Linked DNA regions of Saccharomyces cerevisiae S288C. The protein of the gene in region 3 interacts with the protein of the main gene of each other region in a biochemical or structural test. Each region holds a gene or a part of one and is shown on either strand. Other genes may lie near its edges. The genes, in order: GPA2, IME1, IME2 and MCM4.

Region 1 (4,437 bases), on a different chromosome or scaffold from region 3:
CGGAATAAAAAGAGGCTGGATATGAGTTTCTAAGCTCAGCTGACCCCGGTACGGACGATTTATGGTTAGAAGTAATGAACTTCAGCAGATTCTTCTTGAATGAAGAAGAATCAGGGTACAGCACATTCACTGTGAAACATAAAGTTTCCGCATTCAAAAGCTCCTGGTTCCTTAAAGAGCTCAAGTCCTTTAAACTCCTCCATATATATCTTGGGTCCAGCGTTAAAGTGGTCTTGGAGATCTCATTCAAAACTTTCAATAGTTCCTGAACCTGATCTTCTTCCGCATATTTCTTCTCAGAATGGTGCAAGTCATTGACCCCGGAAGAATCCACGTCCATCATTACTGCAGTGCTAGCCATTCTATTTGCTCAATTGAATTTTTTTTACTATACCCCCTTTCAAATTGTGTGATGAATGCCTTACCTACTGCTTTGTCTCTTTCTTGGGTGGCAAATGTTTTTCGTCCTCCTGCCTGAAAAGTGGAACTATTACCTCGTTGGAATGAAATTTTTGTTACCCGGGATAATAACTATAATGACTACAATAATATAGTGGTATAACGCTATAAATTAAAAAATAACGGTTGTGCTTAATACAGCACAAAACAGAAAAGTTATTCAAGTATCATGGTTGTGATTACTAGTACAATGGTCATGAGAAAACGTATTCGTATTTATTTAATTTTTTTTTTTTTTTTACCTTTTTTCCAGTTTCTTTTTTTATCTTTTTTAAAGGTGATAATAAAGGGGAGAAGAGGCATGCAGTTTTGTCTCTGTTTTAGCTGTGCATTCATTGTAACACTCCAGAGTCTTTCAATGTATTTTCCAAAATTGTTTCTTTGATGGCGGCAAATACTAATCTTATATTCGACGTGTCTGTGGCCTGTGTCACGTGAGGATATATGCTTAGATTCGCCCTGTTTAACTGAACAAACCTCCAGAGTATGTACTTAGCAGCCTTGTTGATGTCTGACCCGCCGGTGTAGTCTGGGAAGTAATTTTCCATAGGCACTTTGCTTAGTTTTTCAGCAAAAAGGTCGATTTTATTCAGAAAGAGTACGACAGACGTGCGCGCGAACCATCTACTGTTGACAATATTATCGAAAAGCACCAGCGATTCCTGAAACCTGTTCTGGTTCTTGTCCTCCATCAGCGTCTGGTCGTACTCCGATAGAGAAACGCAAAATATGACCAGAGTGACATTGTCGAAGCAGTGTATCCATTTTTTTCTTTCGGAACGCTGTCCACCCACGTCGTAAATATGCATCTTGATATCCGACCCCATATCAATGACGGTGTCAAAAATCCCTGACGTCATCTGTCTCGATCTTAATATGTCCTGCTGGGTGGGTCTGTAATTGGGCGAAGTGATCCTGGTGAAATTTTCCATGAAGTAAGGAGTCGAGTCCATTAGATAGAACTTCGATGCGTTAGGCCCATTGACTAAATCTTGTGTTGAGGGCAAGGCCCACAACGTAGATATTACGCCCGCGATATCTTCCGGGAATTGGCCCGTGTAGTTATTGGGCATTTCATAGGACATGGTTCTCGACAGGTCTTGTTGCGTCAGTTCACACTCCGGTTCCAAGTTGACGTTAAACCTTGTTCTCGCCTGGATGAGGTTCCTGCCAATTTCCAATAGATTCTGATAGATCAAGGGGATGTACTCTTTAATTTCCTGCTCGCTAAACCCGTTCTGGTGTAAAATCTTCAACTGCTGCAATACCGTGGACTTACCACTTTCACCGGCACCCAGCAGTAGCACTTTCAGTTCTTTGTCGTTGCTGCCACTTGAAGCGTCCGACAATGATGGTTGTGCTGCAACGTTACTCGACCTGTCTCTCAGGGCAGAGTCGATATTGATCTGTTGCGATCCGCTTGTATTTGCCGTAGCCGTGGGAGATATCGCGTTATTAATGCTCCCGTTTTGCTCCTTGCGGTCCTTAACATTATGCGGAGACGGCTGCTGCTGCCTCTGTTGTTGCTTTTCTTGTTGATTTGCTGTGTTGACTGTTCTCACAGTCTTCTGTGGCTCCTGCTTTGGTGGTACCTTCGCTTTGCCAACGTTGTCACTACCAGCGCTGGCGGTCTGCGTGTCAGGAGTGCTGCCGTTCTTTTCTGAAGATGCGCAGAGACCCATGATATTTGCTTGAAAATACGCGTGATTTGTGCTGTAACAATAAGGCTCGCTGTGATAGCAATTGCTCACTTTTATACCTATCGATTGCTCTTTGGGTAGTGAGAACCAAACCTACCTAAAGTTTTTCCACCCCTTCAGTCTAAGGCTGCACGCACGCGCCTATAAATCCTGCTGCTTATTAACTTTTTTTTTCGGTGCAGTATGCAAGAGGATAAGAAGAATCATTTGGGCGCAGCTGAGGGGGCTTGAACATGATGAAGTAAGGGAAGAAGAAATCGCGAACGAGGCAGTAGTCATGTTTTGTGACTGAATTGGCGGACTTCATTTTACTCCAGACATTTACTTAATGTGGAGCACGCCGGGCGCAGGGATCGTAATATATGGTATATCTTTAGTAATTATAAGTTTGATTCTGCCCCGGGTACCACGGGTTACCCGTTTCCTTAGCCTTTTGGATTTCGTCTTTTTTTTTTTCCTCCATTTTCACTTTTTCATTCAGTTACTAACTGGCCAAAAGAGACATTTTAGATATAAGAGGTATGAGAGAGTAGATATATGTGCGTGTGAGAAAAGGTAAGGGGCGCAAAGCATAAAACAGGTGGTATTATCGATCAACAGTATCATAAGAATGGCAGCTTCAGTTCCACCAGGAGGTCAGCGTATCTTGCAGAAGAGAAGACAGGCACAATCCATTAAGGAAAAGCAAGCAAAACAAACGCCCACTTCCACCAGACAGGCTGGTTACGGTGGGTCTTCAAGCTCAATTTTGAAGTTATATACGGACGAAGCCAATGGATTCAGAGTCGACTCCCTTGTCGTATTGTTCCTATCTGTCGGTTTCATCTTCTCCGTGATTGCTTTGCATCTATTGACGAAATTTACACACATTATATAATATCAGTAATTTTTTTACATATGCTAAAGAAAATCGATAATATCATTTCTCGCTCAAGAAAGTTTGCAGGTGGTGCTCCGCGTCCAGAACCTCTTGTTCGACTTCGATGAGGGCTCTGATTTCAGACCTGCCAAACAAGAAGGAGATGGCACCGTCGATGGTGCCCGAGATGGAGACAGCAATAGCGAAAAGGACCCAGAAGATGGAGGACCAGCCTGCCTTGTTTGCAGTAAACGTTGTCACGACCAACGACGCTATTAGGAGAAGTATTGAGGCCCAGAAATGTAGGCCACGGAAAAATTTCTGTCTTTGGGCTGTCTTCAAGTACGTGTGGATGCATTCTATCATGGTTTCGTAGTTGGAGTATCTCTGCAAGATCAGCTCTCTATCATGAGTCTTCGCACGCTTAACGGAGGTGGATGGACGGGACTCTGTGCCCTGTGGGACGATGTTAAGGGTGCATGAGTATGCAAAATGGTCAGAGACACTGCAGTCCAGGTGAGGGATCCGTTCAGTGAACCTGACACCTGCGTCTACTGTTTGCAAGAAATCAGGGTCGATAAGAGCATAATCCAACCTGCATGCCTCATCGGGTTGTCTTTGGGCCCTCCATGTGTTGAGCAGCGAATCGCACGTGGTACAGCCCTTAAGCAATTGTTGCAATGGAGACAGACGAGCGATCACCGCCAAGTCTTGCTTCCCATGCAATTGCTCCCAGGAGTCGACCAGGCCGGCCTCCTGCGTGAGAAATTTGTGGGGCAGTGAGCCCGGTCTGGAGTTTAAGTCACCCACCACAATCACCGCATAACCGGCCTGCCTGTAAAGCTTAATGAGCCTGCTGAAATCCCAGGCCTGACAAGATCTGTGGCACAAGTAGGCGGCATCACCCTGCTTGGCGTATGGGGCGTGCATGTGACTGTTCATTATTGCAATGGGGCGGGTTCCTGTGTTCAATACGGTGATTGCTATAGATTTCCCTACGTACCAGTCGCCACGGAACACCGCACTCGGTCTACCGTTTATCGGGAACCGGTAAAGAAAGGTCGACTCTATCGGGACCTTGGACAGTATGGCCAACCCAGGCCCCGTCAGAATACCAGAATGGAACAAACGCTGATACGGATACTTGGAGGCACACGCAGAAGCTAGATACTTCCAGTCTTCCACACACCAGATTTCTTGTAAGGCAATCACGTCGTAATCTTCGTTTTCATTACTATCTCCACCATTGGGCAACAACTCGTCAGATATTGGCGTAAGCATTGAGTGGCCCGCCAATTTATCAGCAATTGCTCTGAGTCTTTCTTTACGGTGTTTGGAGACGTATTTTAACCCCCATGTATTGAAGGTCAGAAACTTTATGGAATACGCTTTACTATTATCGGACATAATTGCGTTGGT
Region 2 (4,384 bases), 380 kb from region 3:
GTCAAAAGAACCTCAAGAAGTCCACTAAATGGCAGTAAATGCCGCGCTTACATTTTTAGCGACTGCCGAAAACGTACGGCTAACTGCTGTACCTCAAAAGCATAAAATTGTGATGTTGATTAAAACAAGTAGGCGTTGCATATATAGACGTGGGTAGGAAAAAAGTGAGCGCCAACACTATATAAGAAACCGTTTCTGGATACACCCTCGTGAAGAAATAGGGTCCTGCATTGATATTTTCAAACTTATATAATTAATAATAATTAATAGCGCTTAGTTTAAAGAATTTGAACTATTTTTTGGCCAACTTGGAGAAAGAATGTGTACTTGATTATTGGCATTCCGCGTATTTACGCGGGGATAAAGAGAAAACAAAGGAGAAAAGGAATTTCCTCAATTCCGATGACTAGTACCTCCGAGCAAGCAATCATCGGCGAACAGATGTAAAAAGAGAGTTTTAAACACTGAGTTTTATTTATCAAGAACGTACCCGTACAGCTATCGTTTCAGGCAGATAACAAAAATGTGATTGAAATTAAAGTAGTTTTGTTTGGAATCATGATAATTAAATATTTCATTAATTTGAAGTTACTAAGTAATGAAGCTAGCCCGAGAAACGCAAATGCTCAGAGAGCCCGGCAGTAATTGTGTACACAGAACTATACAAGCCGCTGGATAAAGCTTATTCGTTGATGTCATCCGCTATTACCTCTCCTAATCATGGCTGCAGGAAATCTTTTCTCTCAACATCTTGTACCACTTTAAAATGCGGTAGCAAAGGACAAACGGTAAAACGTTACACTGCCACGGTGTTATAGCAGCCGCAAAGTGAGTAAGCATGTGATGGTACCTTCAATACTGCGTTGGAGAAAAAAAGTGCGTATCTTTGTTTACTTTTCGTCTTCGAGGGGAAGGATCAAAGGCGCATGCGTGCCCGCAGGAGGGGGCGCCAGGATTGGGGGTAGATACAACATCAAGGAAGCGTCATGGTGGCTTCTTGGGTCTTAAATACGCAGGGAATTAAAGTTTCATTTATGTGCCTTTACATGCACTCAAAAACCTTCTTAGTTACAGGAAAAGGTAAAGATACGATAAGAAAAGCCTTTGAACTGCCCATCCTGCATCCTAACACAGATCTAACTCACTATTCGGGTAAGGAAGTGTCATGCATGTCTGCAAAGGGACTAGAAGAAAGTTACATGATTACATAAGCAAAAAATCGGAATTACAGACACACCATTTTTTATCCTGCGGCCCCATTTCCGTCTTCGAGGGAAAGGATCAAAGGCGCTTAGCCCAATCTTGATGATTCACCGGGGAAGAAAGGAATTACAGAACCCCCAGCCACGTAACACAGCCAATTAGTTTTCTATATCGGGAAACGTGATTGATTGCGCAATTTTGGCTGCATCAGAATACATCGATGAGATCTAGAGCACCCTTTGATGGTTTAAGTCCGGTTTAAAGTTAGTAGATCAATGATTTCGTAGTGCATTTTAAAGGGAGCGCTTATCCATGGGTGATTGCGTTTACAACGTTTTGTGTGTACTCATAATAGCCAATCTAAAATTAAACAACAACAACAACGCACAATTAATATGTATCAGCCCCAATACCTTTTTCTCTTACTGTAATTTACTACTAAATTGGGGTCGGACGTTTTTGATCTTGTTCCTTGCCTGTTGTTTACCTTGTATATTACTTTTCCTCTTTTATGTATTTAAGGTAAATTAATTATCTTTTGATCTTAATATTTTTCTCAAAATGCTTCCCTTGTAGTTCGGTATTTTTGCTTCTTCAGATATTTAAACTACCGTATACCATAACTGTTTCGTGAAGTAGATACAAACATCGACTATCCTATTACGATTTATTTTACATTATCATATTATAAATCGACCAGTAGTATTGTTAAAGATTAAAAGCATAATATACTACTGTCATTAGTCACCTACAGAGAAACAAATTCCTACTGGCACCCATTACTGGTGAAAAAGGAAAAAAATAATAAAAGAAAAGCTTTTCTATTCCTCTCCCCACAAACAAAATGCAAGCGGATATGCATGGAAAACTTCACGCTGCCTTAGAAGATGGTTTCTTCCTCTTTCCTTTTGAACAGCAACAACAACCTAACATTTATTATGACACAACCACCGATCAAGAAGACCGTCCTTGTTTTTCTTTTGGATCTACAATTTCCCCTAGAAGTTGGCATTTTGAAAAGTCTGACAAAATTGCCTCATCTCAGCTGCAGAACTTGGTTCATACACAACCAATTCATTTAATTAATCCTCAAATATTGTTCAATGAAGAGTTTCTGAATTTGGAAAATATTGATTCTCAGCCTATTTCCAAGGAAACGAAAACTACGAAGGACTGCACAATGGCAACTGGTCCTGAAAGAGGAAAAAAGAGCTCTGAAAGTACCAGATCCTCTTCATTATCATCTCTTTTTTCTAATGATGAATCCGCATCTACGTTCCACTCATCATTCAATAACCATGATAACTTTCAAAAGAGCAACAGAAATGGAGATGATATCGATATTAGTGACACAATAAAATATGAAACTAATACAAATGCACAAAAAGATATCAAAATATTCCAAGAAAATTTTGAATTCAATGAATTCCCATACACACAAGACTTCTACCCATATACCACTAATTATACCTATTCAAAACCCACAAATATTCATGAATCAATAAATTCAAAAAACACGGATTCATACTCCCAATATCAAGATCAGTTTCCACCACATACTGATAACATACATTCCTTTAATAATCGTCACTATAGCAACCATAAAAGCACTAATTGTAATTACTATAATAATACCAGCAATAATAACAACGCCTCCGATAATGTATATGAGGCAGATCCATTTATAGATGAACCTCAGGTGCCCTCCTACTATTACCCATTAGAAATTGCCTTCGACGTTGAAAAATCACCACCGCCATCACTACAAAAATTAAATTCAAAAGAGTTAGAATTCCTAAAAAAGTTGAACTCCAAACTGTCAAGATATGCTGCGGCTTACTCCTTCAGCAGTTCTAATGATCAAGATTATTATGACAAGGTCAGGTTTCAAGAAATATCCTACAAGTTTAGTAAAACCTATTCTTAATTCTCGAAAAGTACTACAATCTTCCCCCTTCCCTCAAAATATATCCATTCACACTCATTTCTTTATTTCCATTGTCTCACTCAAATTGCTAAGAATTTGTGTATTTGCATATATATATATTATATATAGGTATATATATGTATTCAATGTCTCAAGCTCCATGACATAATACCGTAGCGTTATTAGCCTTATCGTATGTCGCGATGGGAAAGGAGATTCGTTTTAATCTTGAAAAACCTTCGTAGCGAATAATGCGACATAAATCTTGAGAGAGTACATCACCAAATTCACTTTGTTAAACCGCACCATCGTGCTTTGCATTCTTATTCCTTTTGCCTACACTAAAATTATTAGCATTTCTCTAAATGAGCTCCAGTGAAGACGAAGACGACAAGTTCTTGTATGGTTCCGACTCCGAATTAGCACTACCTTCATCTAAACGATCAAGAGATGATGAAGCAGACGCAGGTGCGTCCAGTAATCCTGATATAGTTAAAAGGCAAAAATTCGACTCTCCCGTGGAAGAAACTCCAGCTACTGCCAGAGATGATCGTTCTGATGAAGATATCTACTCTGACTCCTCAGATGACGATAGTGATTCTGACCTAGAGGTTATCATAAGTCTGGGTCCTGACCCTACTAGGTTAGATGCAAAACTACTCGATTCTTATTCTACCGCAGCGACATCTTCAAGCAAAGACGTAATTAGCGTAGCTACAGATGTATCCAATACCATCACAAAGACATCAGATGAAAGACTAATAACAGAAGGAGAAGCAAATCAAGGTGTAACGGCAACGACCGTAAAAGCTACAGAGAGCGATGGAAATGTACCGAAAGCAATGACTGGTTCTATAGACCTGGATAAAGAGGGAATCTTTGATAGTGTTGGCATAACGACAATAGATCCTGAAGTATTAAAGGAGAAACCCTGGAGGCAACCGGGGGCCAACTTAAGTGATTATTTCAATTACGGTTTTAACGAATTTACCTGGATGGAGTATTTACATAGACAGGAAAAACTACAACAAGATTATAATCCTAGGAGGATCCTAATGGGCCTATTATCCCTCCAACAGCAAGGGAAGTTGAATTCCGCGAATGATACAGACTCAAACCTCGGTAATATAATTGATAACAACAACAACGTAAACAATGCAAATATGTCTAATCTGAACAGTAATATGGGTAATAGTATGTCTGGAACACCAAACCCTCCCGCTCCACCAATGCATCCAAGCTTCCCACCCTTAC
Region 3 (5,164 bases):
GTCGGCTCTCGCCTACTTCTTGCCTATTGTTTCAGTGCCTTTAAACCTTATTTCCCTTCCCTCGCGTGCCATTCGGCGATCTCGATTTTCCGCAAGGGGCCTCAAACGACCGACATCAAAAACCAAAACAAAGGCCAAGCACATCGTTTAGAGAAGAAATTTTGGGGGTAATATGTTTTAACGATGCCATATATGCACCAACTTCTAGGGGAAAGAATGCTTTTGACTATCTCTCCTTCCTTGCATATAGGCCAGATTTTTCCTTGGATTGTGCTGTATTACTATTGGCTCCAAGGAACCTCACAGTGAGCTTTTCCAAACCGAAAGATTTCTCTTGCGATTTCTTCGTATGCAGTAATAGGGTTTTTTGAGAATATACCGGGCATAATGTTGCAGTTATCAACTATCGCACATACAGTAGTAACAGTTCTGGTTGTCCTAGCATTAATGCCGTTTTAATTTTCTGCAGAGTATTGCCTGTGGACAACAGTAACTTATACGAATAAACATACCAAGTTAGGATCTGAGCCGGGTAACCGAACACAAAGATCTCGTTCTACTTTTTTTGACCTCTTGATGAGTTGCTTAACAAAATCAGTAGCCGCCAAGAGCAAGAAATCATAAAATGTTCAAGAAAAACAAACATAAAAATATATTGGAGGGGAATAAACGCAAAGTAATGTCTAATAAGTTAAATTAAAGCCATCGAAAAAGCACTGTATTAATAGAGCAGTAGCTATTTAGGTGAATGCATAGTAATATAATATATATGCGAACATATGTATGTCTATGTGTATATAACTATATAACTGTGCCTAACGATTCGTCAGTCAAATGACAAATTATTAGAAGGTTACATTTCCAAAATGTTGGTTTGAATTGGATAGATGAGGCTCGAACTTTTCCCGTGATTTTTTTAATGTAGGTATCAAGAAATTTCTTGGAGTAAAATCTGGCATTGAATTAAACGAATCGCCTAAAGAGGCATCACCCAAAACATTATCACCTCTATGATGTGACCTATCTGTATGTGTGTAATTTGAGTTGTTCACATATGGTAGAACGATGTCTTCATCAATATCTGCATGTTCATTAAATGGTTGTTTTCTCTGAAACTCATCCTTTTCAGGAATTTCCAGGTCAAAAAATAGCTGTTCCATGTTGTCTGCTTCATCTTTATTTATAATTTCAATATCATTTGTCAACTGCCTAATATTCGATAATGAATGATCTAAGACTTCTTCATCTGGTAGTTGACAAAGGGCCAAATTATTACGAATTTCTTTTGATAATTCAGTCTCATCAATAGAATCTGAAATGGTAGAATCTGTTCCAACATCAGGTATTGAGTGATCATCATTATCTTCTTCAACGAATTCGTTTAAAAATTCTACCAAAGTTAGTTTTTCTTGATTTAATGTTGGTGAGCACATAGCATGAGAATCGTGATCGTTGTTGCTGATATCAATATCATTAGACTCTGTTTCTGCGGGCAATTTTGTTGAAGAGTTAAAATATATGGGCTTTGTGTTGGTCGCTACTGGATTTATACCTGCAAAAATCAATGCTTGTTCTGTATTAGTCACATTGCCTCTTGCGTCTACTTGGGATGCCACGGTGTTTTCAAAAAATGGCATTTCACAAAGCTCTTGGGCTGTTGCCCTTTCATTAGGATCCCATCTTAAACACTTTTTGACAACCTCAGATAAATCGGATAGTTGGGAGCTAGAAAGTAGATGATCCAACGATGAACCTTCTACATAAGGCAATTTCAAGTTTAATTTATGGACCAAATTACTGGCATCATCCCAAAATCCACCAGGTGGTGGAGCTGTGATGTGGTTTGTATTAACAAAATCAGAACGTTTGATAGGTGTACCAAGAACTTCTAAAATTTTCCATATCTGATCGATTTCGTTAGCACCGGGGAAGAGAGCTCTGAATACAGTAACTTCCACCGCCACGCACCCGAATGCCCAAATATCCAAAGGTTTGGAATAGTAACCACTTCTTAATAATATTTCAGGCGATCTATACCATCTTGTGGAAACGTAGGCCGTATACGGGTTTTTATTTTCAACATGGCGTGCCAAACCAAAATCTGCAAGTTTAATGACATAGTTATCTTGATATCCAATCTGGTTCATGTACTCCTTTTCAAAATACTGGGTACTTGGTGTGATAAGAATATTTTCAGGTTTTAAATCTCTGTGGAAGAAATTATGTTCGTGGATGTGTTTTAACCCAGCCAGTATCTGCGATAGAATAGATTTCAAAGAAGGAATCGAAAAAACTCGGCGCCTTCTATGTTTCATCATTTGATATAGGTTTTGCTCCATACATTCCATTACGATATGTAATTGGTAATTTTCAGAGTCAATAAAGACCTCAAAAATTTGTATCAGATGGTCATTCGCTGGGATTGCCAGTATGAACTTAATTTCTCTGACCCTCGTATAATCCTGGAGTGTATGCAGTTTTGTCATCATTGTCTTTATAGCCACTACACCTTGTGTCTTTGTTATATAGTTTTGGTGACCATTTTTAGGCTGATCCATTAAAGTACCCCTTATATCATGTTGTTTACCCAATATGTTCGATAAAGGAAATTGCGCTTTGGCTAAAGTTACACAACCAAATGATCCTGCACCTAGTTTTTCGATCAGCTGATATCTGTCTGATAAAGTCTTCAAAGGGATAGAAAGTGGCGGGTTATCGACATCAGGTGGAACACTGAACTCTGAGCCACTACTGGAACTCTGTCTACTACGTTTTTCAACCATAAATGACCTATTAAGTTAAGCTTAGTACTCTTCTTTTATTACGTCTGTATCACGTTCCTTTTCAATGAATATTTAAGAACACGATTAACTTTTCTGATAAGCCTGGTAAATAAATACAGGTTTATATTCTCTAGACAGCCACCTTAACCGACTGGAGTGTCCTTTATATCTTTACCCAAAAAATAAAACTTTTAGGAGAAGGGGTAACAAACTGAAAAGGGAAAGGGTAAAGTAAAGGTAACTGTAAACTATTTTGAAAGATAGATCTTGTAACTTCTTTCTCGTTGAGTGATATTGGAAAATAAAAATGAAATGAATGTGTGAAGACAGAAGAAGTTATTCAGGAAAAGAAAATGGACAGACCGGTGAGTTGCTACCTTAATATATCTATTTGATTACACACATTACTTCTTTACCTCTTTGCAACCAGCACTTGTCTGTGGCTTTTTGCCGCCGAAGTCTCGCGCCTTTTCCCTGTTGAATTGCATTTAAGACACAAGGCTGACATTTATTAATGATAGAGATTTCCACAAAAACTCAAATAGCCGCCGTAACATAAATTATTGGACAACCGGAGAAAAGGATATTTTAAGGCACCAGCGGGTAATACATCTTTATTTCTCCAAGTTTAAAAAGCGTATTTGGAAAAGCTGTGCCACTCAGATTTTTGTGAGAGTTTTCTTTTTCTACTTACCATGAGTGCGGAGTCTTGGTGAAACAGCTACTGAGAGAATAGGTATCTGGGTTACCAGTGTAGTTAGCTACAACATGTTCGAAATGCATGGTAGAGTCTGGGTTTCGTTCCCTTTGGCTTGTTAAGGCCGAAGATTGCTTTGGTCTGGATGGGCGGAGCCCAAATTTTATTGTTGAACTATTTTTAGATTAAGAAAAACAGCGCCAAATTTTACCCGGCTTATGGCTCCTCCCTTGGTACTCCCATTTTTATGACGTAGCAGTTGTCCCGCTTGTTTCAACTCCTCGAGAAAAGTGGGGCATTGGGTTTATCTGTCACAGTACCACCAGCACGCCGAATGGACCCTCTTTGTCTTAGCCCGACGTCTCCGTAATCAGCGCGCCATTCGTGTTTCTAGTGTCCTTTGACTATTTTCATCCGAAAAATATCGAAGCAAAGCCATCGCCAAAAATTGCGAACCCAATATGACGAAATTCGGAAGAATCTTGAAAAAGAAATAAACCGAATTGCATATTAATATATAACTATGTTTTACGTTTGTTTTAAGCCTACTATATCTGAGAACGTAGCTAAATAAATCTTATATAACACTTACTTACTTACTTAGCGGTGTGCGACTTTTATCTTTTAGATATAGAATAACAAAAGAAAAAAGATCGAATAACCGATAGGCTATACAATGGACGGTAGAAATGAAAAACCAACCACTCCTGTGTCAGATTTTCGGGTGGGAAGCTCCGAGCAAAGTCAAGCGGGAGTGAATCTTGAAGATAGTAGTGACCATCGCACTTCCAATTCAGCCGAGAGCAAAAAAGGCAATTTAAGTGGTAAAAGCATCAGTGATCTAGGTATTTCTAATAATGATAACAAAAATGTAAGATTCACTGCTGATACGGATGCTCTAGAAAATGATTTGTCTTCAAGATCTACAGAAACCAGCGATAATTCTAAGGGCACAGATGGACAAGATGAAGAAGATAGGCCTGCTCGCCACAAGAGGAAGCCTAAAGTTTCTTTCACACATTTAAGGAACAATGGTAAGGATGGAGACGATGAGACGTTCATCAAGAAGATAATAAATAACCTGACTGGAAATCAAGGGGGTTTGGTCCCTGGCTTGGCACCAATACCTTCAGAAAATGAAAATGGGAAGAATGATATAGAAAAAAATAACCGTAATGAAGAAATTCCCTTATCCGATCTAGCTGATGCGTCTAAAATCGTAGACGTTCATGAGGGCGACGATAAAGAAAAACTGGAGGCTCTCAAATTAGAAGGTGACGTAAATTGTACGTCGGATGGCGAAACGTTAGGCTCAAGTTCAAAAAATTCATTTCTGGCTCCTGCAGTGGATCATTTTGATGATTATGCAGAAAACAATTCATCCGACGATAACGAAGGGTTTATTGAAACCTCCACATACGTACCCCCTCCATCTCAAGTGAAAAGTGGAGTACTAGGGTCATTATTGAAACTTTACCAAAATGAAGATCAAAATTCAAGCTCAATCTTTTCAGATTCACAAGCTGTAACAACAGATGATGAAGGTATTTCTTCTACTGCTGGAAACAAAGACGTACCAGTTGCCAAGCGTAGCAGATTACAAAATTTAAAAGGCAAGGCTAAAAAAGGCAGAATGCCTAGACTGAAGAAAAGACTAAAAACTGAAGCGAAAATTACGGTTCAC
Region 4 (5,893 bases), on a different chromosome or scaffold from region 3:
GATAGATCCTCGAAAAGGTGAGACAAAGTATAACGGTATATTTCATGCTATCCGAACTATCTTAAAGGAAGAGAGCTTTAGAAGCTTTTTCAAAGGTGGTGGAGCCCGTGTCCTAAGAAGTTCTCCCCAATTTGGGTTCACTCTGGCCGCCTATGAATTATTCAAGGGCTTTATTCCCTCCCCCGATAACAAATTAAAAAGCAGAGAGGGTAGGAAGAGATTTTGTATCGATGACGACGCAGGCAATGAAGAGACAGTAGTTCATAGTAACGGTGAACTCCCACAGCAAAAGTTTTACTCTGATGATAGAAAACATGCCAATTATTACTATAAAAGCTGTCAAATTGCGAAAACATTCATTGATTTGGACAATAACTTTTCTAGGTTTGACTCTTCAGTTTATAAAAACTTTCAAGAGCACCTAAGAAGCATTAACGGGTGATTTATTTTCTTCGTCAGTTTCTCTGTACATATATATGTATATATTTACTTATTATAATTCATAGCAAAATATATGTTTTTTTTTTTTTCTTATAGTGAGAAAAATTACTAATGATCCTGAGATCAATTTCACTGTAGTTTTTACTATAGTGCAACAAGTATGTTGTTCTTAATAAGTGTAATGAAAGCTCTGAGGTCAAGTTTTCTTTTTTACAGAAAAGTTATATTGGCCTATTTCATAAATAACTGGCGGCAAGAAGCTAATGTAATATAACTCGATATCGCTTTTAATGCCATTGTATGTCATGAAAAGAAAATAAATAGAATTGAGATGAATATATATTCTTTTTTCTAGTTTTGTTCTATTTGTACATTGATTTAATTTAATTAACGAATATACAAGGGTTTTGCGAATAGATAGAATTAAAAAGCTTAGTGATGTTTATATCCCACTAATTTTCTTCTTCCAATTATTTCACCGACAGAATAAAACCCTATCAACTGAATACCATATGCGCCATATTTTAATAGTTCATTCTTTTGGATGTTTTTTAAACACGATAAAACTTCTGTAGGCTTTAGAGCAAAGTTTAGGCTCTGCTTATAAAGGTTCGAATACACTGATTTGAACTGGGCAACAGTTGGTGGTTGAAGACCCTCTTTTAAATAAATCTGTTTTGAAATCTCGGCACCGACTTTACCATAGTATAAAGCCTTTGATGACAAAAGATTTGCTTTAGAAACCAACCCACTGGTATAATTTTGGATCCTGCTTAGCATGATGAATTGATTAGCGTTCTGAAATATGATTTATCGGCAGGTTTATCTTGTCGATTTGGACTGGAGTAGAAAATATGAGGGATCTTTGCATCTTCATTTTTCGGTCTTTAAATGTAATCATCCTTCGGGATAAATTTAGTGCGTTTAACAATATTTTCTTTCAGCCAATCAGGAATAAGAAAAAAGCCGCCCACTCAATCGAGCCTACATACAGTATTGAATAGTGTTACAAAGCATAAGGATGTAAAAAATACAAACTTGCTATAATTAATTAGTATTTATTAATTGTTACGCAGGGAATGATTGTAGTAGACAGCATCAGACACGGTTATTCAGGCGAACTGATCTCCTTACACCCTCGCCAAGGACAATGACCTTGTCCTCTTGTTGCAATCTTGACAAGGCTTCCTGGATATCAGAAGACTCAACTCTATCTTGAGAGTGTTCATTGATTTGTTTTATAAGCTCATTGAATGACATTGAGTCTGATGCCTGATCCTTCAAAACATTCATAATTTCCCTTGACAAATCCTCCTGTAGTTTTCTCTGAATAACTGATTTACCTGTTTGAACTAAATTCATGTCGATTTTACCGGTTTTAGGGTCTGTTGCATAATCTTTTATGGCTGATCTAATTAATCTAACGGCTTCTTGAACATCCTCCAGCTCTACGACGTTTTTCAATTTCATTTTGGCGTGCGCCTCAGCCAAACGAATCATACTTTCAAGTTGTCTTGTGGTAGCTGTGATTCTCTTCTCATCGGATCTCGAATCGTCACCCATCTTTCTCATTCCTACATAAGCACGAACAAGCTCAGTCTTAGCGGCCTCGGTGATTATTGGGTGTATGTGCTCCTTTGCATAACTAATATACATCGTTAAAAATTCAACTGGTAGCACGTCGTCTTGAGAAATATGTTCGGGCTTATCTTCCAGGTAAAGATTTGTTAAGTGTTTGGCTAGTTCTCTGTCATTTTTCTCATCAACCTTATCAAGGACAAGATAGACCAGATCGAATCTCGAAAGTAGTGGGGGCGGTAGATCAATATTTTCAGTCACAGGCAAATTGGGGTTGTAGCGTGAACCAATTGGGTTAGCACTGGCCAAAATAGAACTTCTGGCATTAAGTGTTGTGATAATTCCCGCTTTTGCGATTGAAATAGTCTGCTGTTCCATGACTTCGTGCAAGACGGACCTTGTAGAATCACTCATTTTATCAAACTCGTCAATACAACAAACACCTCCATCAGACAATACTAATGCACCACTTTCCAAAACAAGTTGTTTTGTGTCGACATCCCTTGTAATATAAGCAGTTAAACCAACGGCAGATGAACCTTTACCCGAAGTATACACACCACGAGGAGTAATTTTGTGAACGTATTGCAAAATTTGCGATTTGGAAGTAGAAGGATCCCCACAAAGTAAAATATTTATGTCACCTCTATAACGGCCACCCTTGGTAAAGGTTTTATTCGTGCCGCCAAATAGCTGAAGTAATATACCCTTCTTGACATCTTCTAGCTCGTAAATACTTGGGGCAATAGAGCGGGCTAATAAACTGTATAAATCTTCTCTTGCCGCAACCTCGCGAATTTTTGCTAAATCCTGATCAGTAATTTGTCTTACTTCTTCGACCTCGTTATGATCTACCTTGTTCTGCATTAATTCTTGTTCAATAGTAGAAGTATCGACGTCTAACCTCTTATCTGAAACTTTTTTAACGTGGACCACATCGACGTATGTTTTATACAACGACTTTAGTACGCGTTGCCTGGAATTAGCTCTAATGGGGATGGACCTGAACGTGCCAGTCACCTCAATACGATCGCCCGCCCTGCAAGAATCCACTAATTCATCGTAAACACATAATGAGATAGAGTGAGGCGTTTGTCCATCAGGCACAAAGTCTGGAGTTTCCTGTAACTTAATGACTTGTTTATCTGCGAATGAACACCTGTTGTGAATCAGTGACATGGAATTGGGTTCATTACAATCAATACGTTCACACCTAGCGGGCTCTTGTATAACTCCTCTATCAATTTCCACTGCCATTGTATGATCGCAGACGTTGCATTTGAAAAACGCTACCTTCATATCAGGGATAACCGGAGTTGATCTCAGGACAAGACCCTTTAAGTTTATCAATTTATCAATATCATTTGGATTCAATTCGCGCATACCTTTACAAGAACCTACATTGTAAGGCCTTACTTTATAAAACTTGGTCTCTATTTCATCTAAATCGTAATCCAAATTGTTGTCTACTATTAAGGAAACCATACAGTCCTTGATAGTTTGATCCATGATAGAAATCACTTCTTGAGGATAATTTAATAGTTGATGGTATAAGTCTTCTGTTTGCTTGTAAGCAAGTAAGTTTCTAGCATCCAAGTTTAAATTAGAGGTACCAAGTTCTCTCATTTCATTAAGCTGCTTGATATAGTATAGTTCTTCGTCGGTAGTATTGTTAATGAATTCCTCCCTTTCATCCAATATTTTACGGAATTTATACTTGAAAGACATCAAAAAATTACGAAAATTAGTTGTACATTCCTGGATACTGACGTTGGTACCCCAAATTATTCTCAAGGGTTCACTGGCTTCCGATGGAGGAGCAGAAGAAGAAGAAGTATCCAAAGTATTCACGCCGGATCTAGTATCAAAATCCACAATTCTTCTTGGAGAGGATAAATCAGATGTATGAATATCATTTCTTCGCATGTGTACACGGTTTTGACCATTACGGCCTAAAGAAGAGGAAGAAGTAGGCAGTGCTCTATCACTTCTCAGATCAGAATGATATCTAGACCTTCCAGAAGCGCTCGCAGAAGAACGAATTCTGCCCTGTCTGCCTTGAGATTGGAAAACATCGGAATTTTGTCTTTGGGAAGAAGATGGAAAATTTAGTGGAGAAGAACCTATAGCAGCTCTGATGTTTCCCTCTCCCTGACTTAAGTTCTGGCTATTGTTGCGACCATAGATATCACCTTGTGATGAAGAGGAGCTATAAAATAGAGCTGGGGAAGAAAGCTGTGGTGGAACAGAATCAGGATTAGGCACAACGGGGGAGCTGGAGTTATTATCCTCTTTTGTTGGAGAGCTAGACTGTTGAGACATTTTAAGTTCTTGAGGTTCAAAAGGATCCTAAGTTGGGCTCTACCAAGAGTAAAAATAACTGAAGATGGGTTGTCTTATTTAGTATTGAAGATGTTCTTAAAGAAATAAACAGTGCCAATGCGAAGTTGCTCTTCTGGTCTCTTCTTCTCTTTTCATTTTCGAGGCGGCGAACTAGCATTAAATTTCCCGAAAGAGTAAACCAAGTGTTTGCGTTTTCATGAATCTACTCGTAATATTCCAAAAAGAAGTGATATAAAACATGCAGTTGGCTGACACAGATAAATGTAGTTCAGCTTATATAGAAGATTTTCTTTTGTTGCATGCGAGAAGTGCTGGATTTTATTCAAAGTCCAAAAGGCTTGACTGTCGATCGTAGTGTTGTCGCCTTTTTCATGTATACCAATAAATAATCAGTTTATCTGTATGTTTCTATATACTAAAGATCCGTTCAAGTTACAAAGACGGGGTTGGCATATTTGCATTGGCTCGAAGATTCTCCCAGTTTTGTGCGTCTTTGATTACCCATTTGCGGGGCAAATCACCCTTTCCAGAACTTCTTATGGCATATTCCTTTATGGTGTTTTTAATTGTTTGTTTGTTGTATTGCGGCAAATTTTTCTGTGCTATTTCAGTCACAGTACCCAAAGAAAACGTGCTGTCTTGAACCCCATCAAAAAGTCGAAGTAAGTCCATGGGGTCTGTAATCATTGCTTTTTGTTTCTTTTCGGGACTTTGAGATTGGCTAGCGGTCTGTGCCTGTAAGTCGGAATTACTTCTTTTGGATGGTAGAGACGATGTTTTGGGTTCTTTGAATGGATCGATTGGCCCGTCGGTTTCTATGATAACTTCGGCCTTGAGTTGTTGTAAGTATCGTTTATTTTCCTCTGATAAGTTTTCAAAATTGGATTTTAGGCATATTGTTGGTATCAATGGGCCTACAAATTTTCTCTTGGCGCAGGGTAGGCCATCCAAATCACTGTTTTCTTCGCTGTCTAGAAACCCGTCAAACTCTCCTTCGCTAGGTACGTCTTCATCATCTTCCTCCTCCTCCTCCTCTTCACCACTTTCTAAGTTATCGACTTCGCCTTCTTCTTCTTCATTAACCCATTCAACGTCAGAATCGTAATCATAATTGAATCCAGTACCTTTCGTAGAAAAGGGATCGTTTGGTGGCAAAGTAAAGTCCATAGAATAGGTTCCGATAAACGGAGGTCTAACATTTTCGTAGAATTTTATATATTTGTGCGGAACTTGTGCAAGTAAAGATTGGAGCTCATCGTCTGTTTTCTCCTTCAAAGGCATTTGCTGTAGAACGTCAACAGCTTTACGTTTAATTTTATGTCCTCTAGGTAATCTTCTAGACTGTAACCAATTCAATAAGTCGTCACTACTTGTTTTATCTTTACTGTTCAGTAATTCATCATCTATTTTTCTTTTGCTACCTTCCAGCTCCACTTTTGTTAGTTTCCACTTATTACTGACTCTAACTCCATCTTTAGCATAGAAAGGTAGAAAAAATTTTTCATAATCCGACTTTTCAACCACAGGCGTA

The links.
Region 1: the proteins of IME2 (region 3) and GPA2 form a complex in vitro, tested with the Saccharomyces cerevisiae proteins (one study listed by BioGRID).
Region 2: of the proteins of IME2 (region 3) and IME1, one has a biochemical effect on the other in vitro, tested with the Saccharomyces cerevisiae proteins (one study listed by BioGRID).
Region 4: of the proteins of IME2 (region 3) and MCM4, one has a biochemical effect on the other in vitro, tested with the Saccharomyces cerevisiae proteins (one study listed by BioGRID).

The regions. Positions count from the first base shown.
Region 1 is NC_001137.3:192,872-197,308, reverse strand, and holds GPA2 (guanine nucleotide-binding protein subunit alpha), read right to left. Parts: upstream 2,142-4,437; coding exon 792-2,141; downstream 1-791. Other genes in the region: proteasome regulatory particle lid subunit RPN3, read right to left, coding at 1-361; Arf family guanine nucleotide exchange factor SBH2, read left to right, coding at 2,770-3,036; ISC1 (inositol phosphosphingolipid phospholipase), read right to left, coding at 3,079-4,437. UniProt on the Saccharomyces cerevisiae protein: Alpha subunit of the heterotrimeric guanine nucleotide-binding protein (G protein) involved in glucose-induced cAMP signaling.
Region 2 is NC_001142.9:603,315-607,698, reverse strand, and holds IME1 (transcription factor IME1), read left to right. Parts: upstream 1-2,047; coding exon 2,048-3,130; downstream 3,131-4,384. Other genes in the region: cleavage polyadenylation factor subunit FIP1, read left to right, coding at 3,496-4,384. UniProt on the Saccharomyces cerevisiae protein: Transcription factor required for sporulation and for early sporulation-specific genes expression. Positive regulator of SME1/IME2 expression. Directly activates expression of SLZ1 during meiosis.
Region 3 is NC_001142.9:219,009-224,172, reverse strand, and holds IME2 (protein kinase IME2), read right to left. Parts: upstream 2,784-5,164; coding exon 846-2,783; downstream 1-845. Other genes in the region: YJL107C (uncharacterized protein), read left to right, coding at 4,157-5,164. UniProt on the Saccharomyces cerevisiae protein: Protein kinase which is essential for the initiation of meiosis and sporulation.
Region 4 is NC_001148.4:595,198-601,090, reverse strand, and holds MCM4 (MCM DNA helicase complex subunit MCM4), read right to left. Parts: upstream 4,342-5,893; coding exon 1,540-4,341; downstream 1-1,539. Other genes in the region: AGC1 (citrin), read left to right, coding at 1-442; ATP20 (F1F0 ATP synthase subunit g), read right to left, coding at 874-1,221; RLF2 (Rlf2p), read right to left, coding at 4,795-5,893. UniProt on the Saccharomyces cerevisiae protein: Acts as a component of the MCM2-7 complex (MCM complex) which is the putative replicative helicase essential for 'once per cell cycle' DNA replication initiation and elongation in eukaryotic cells.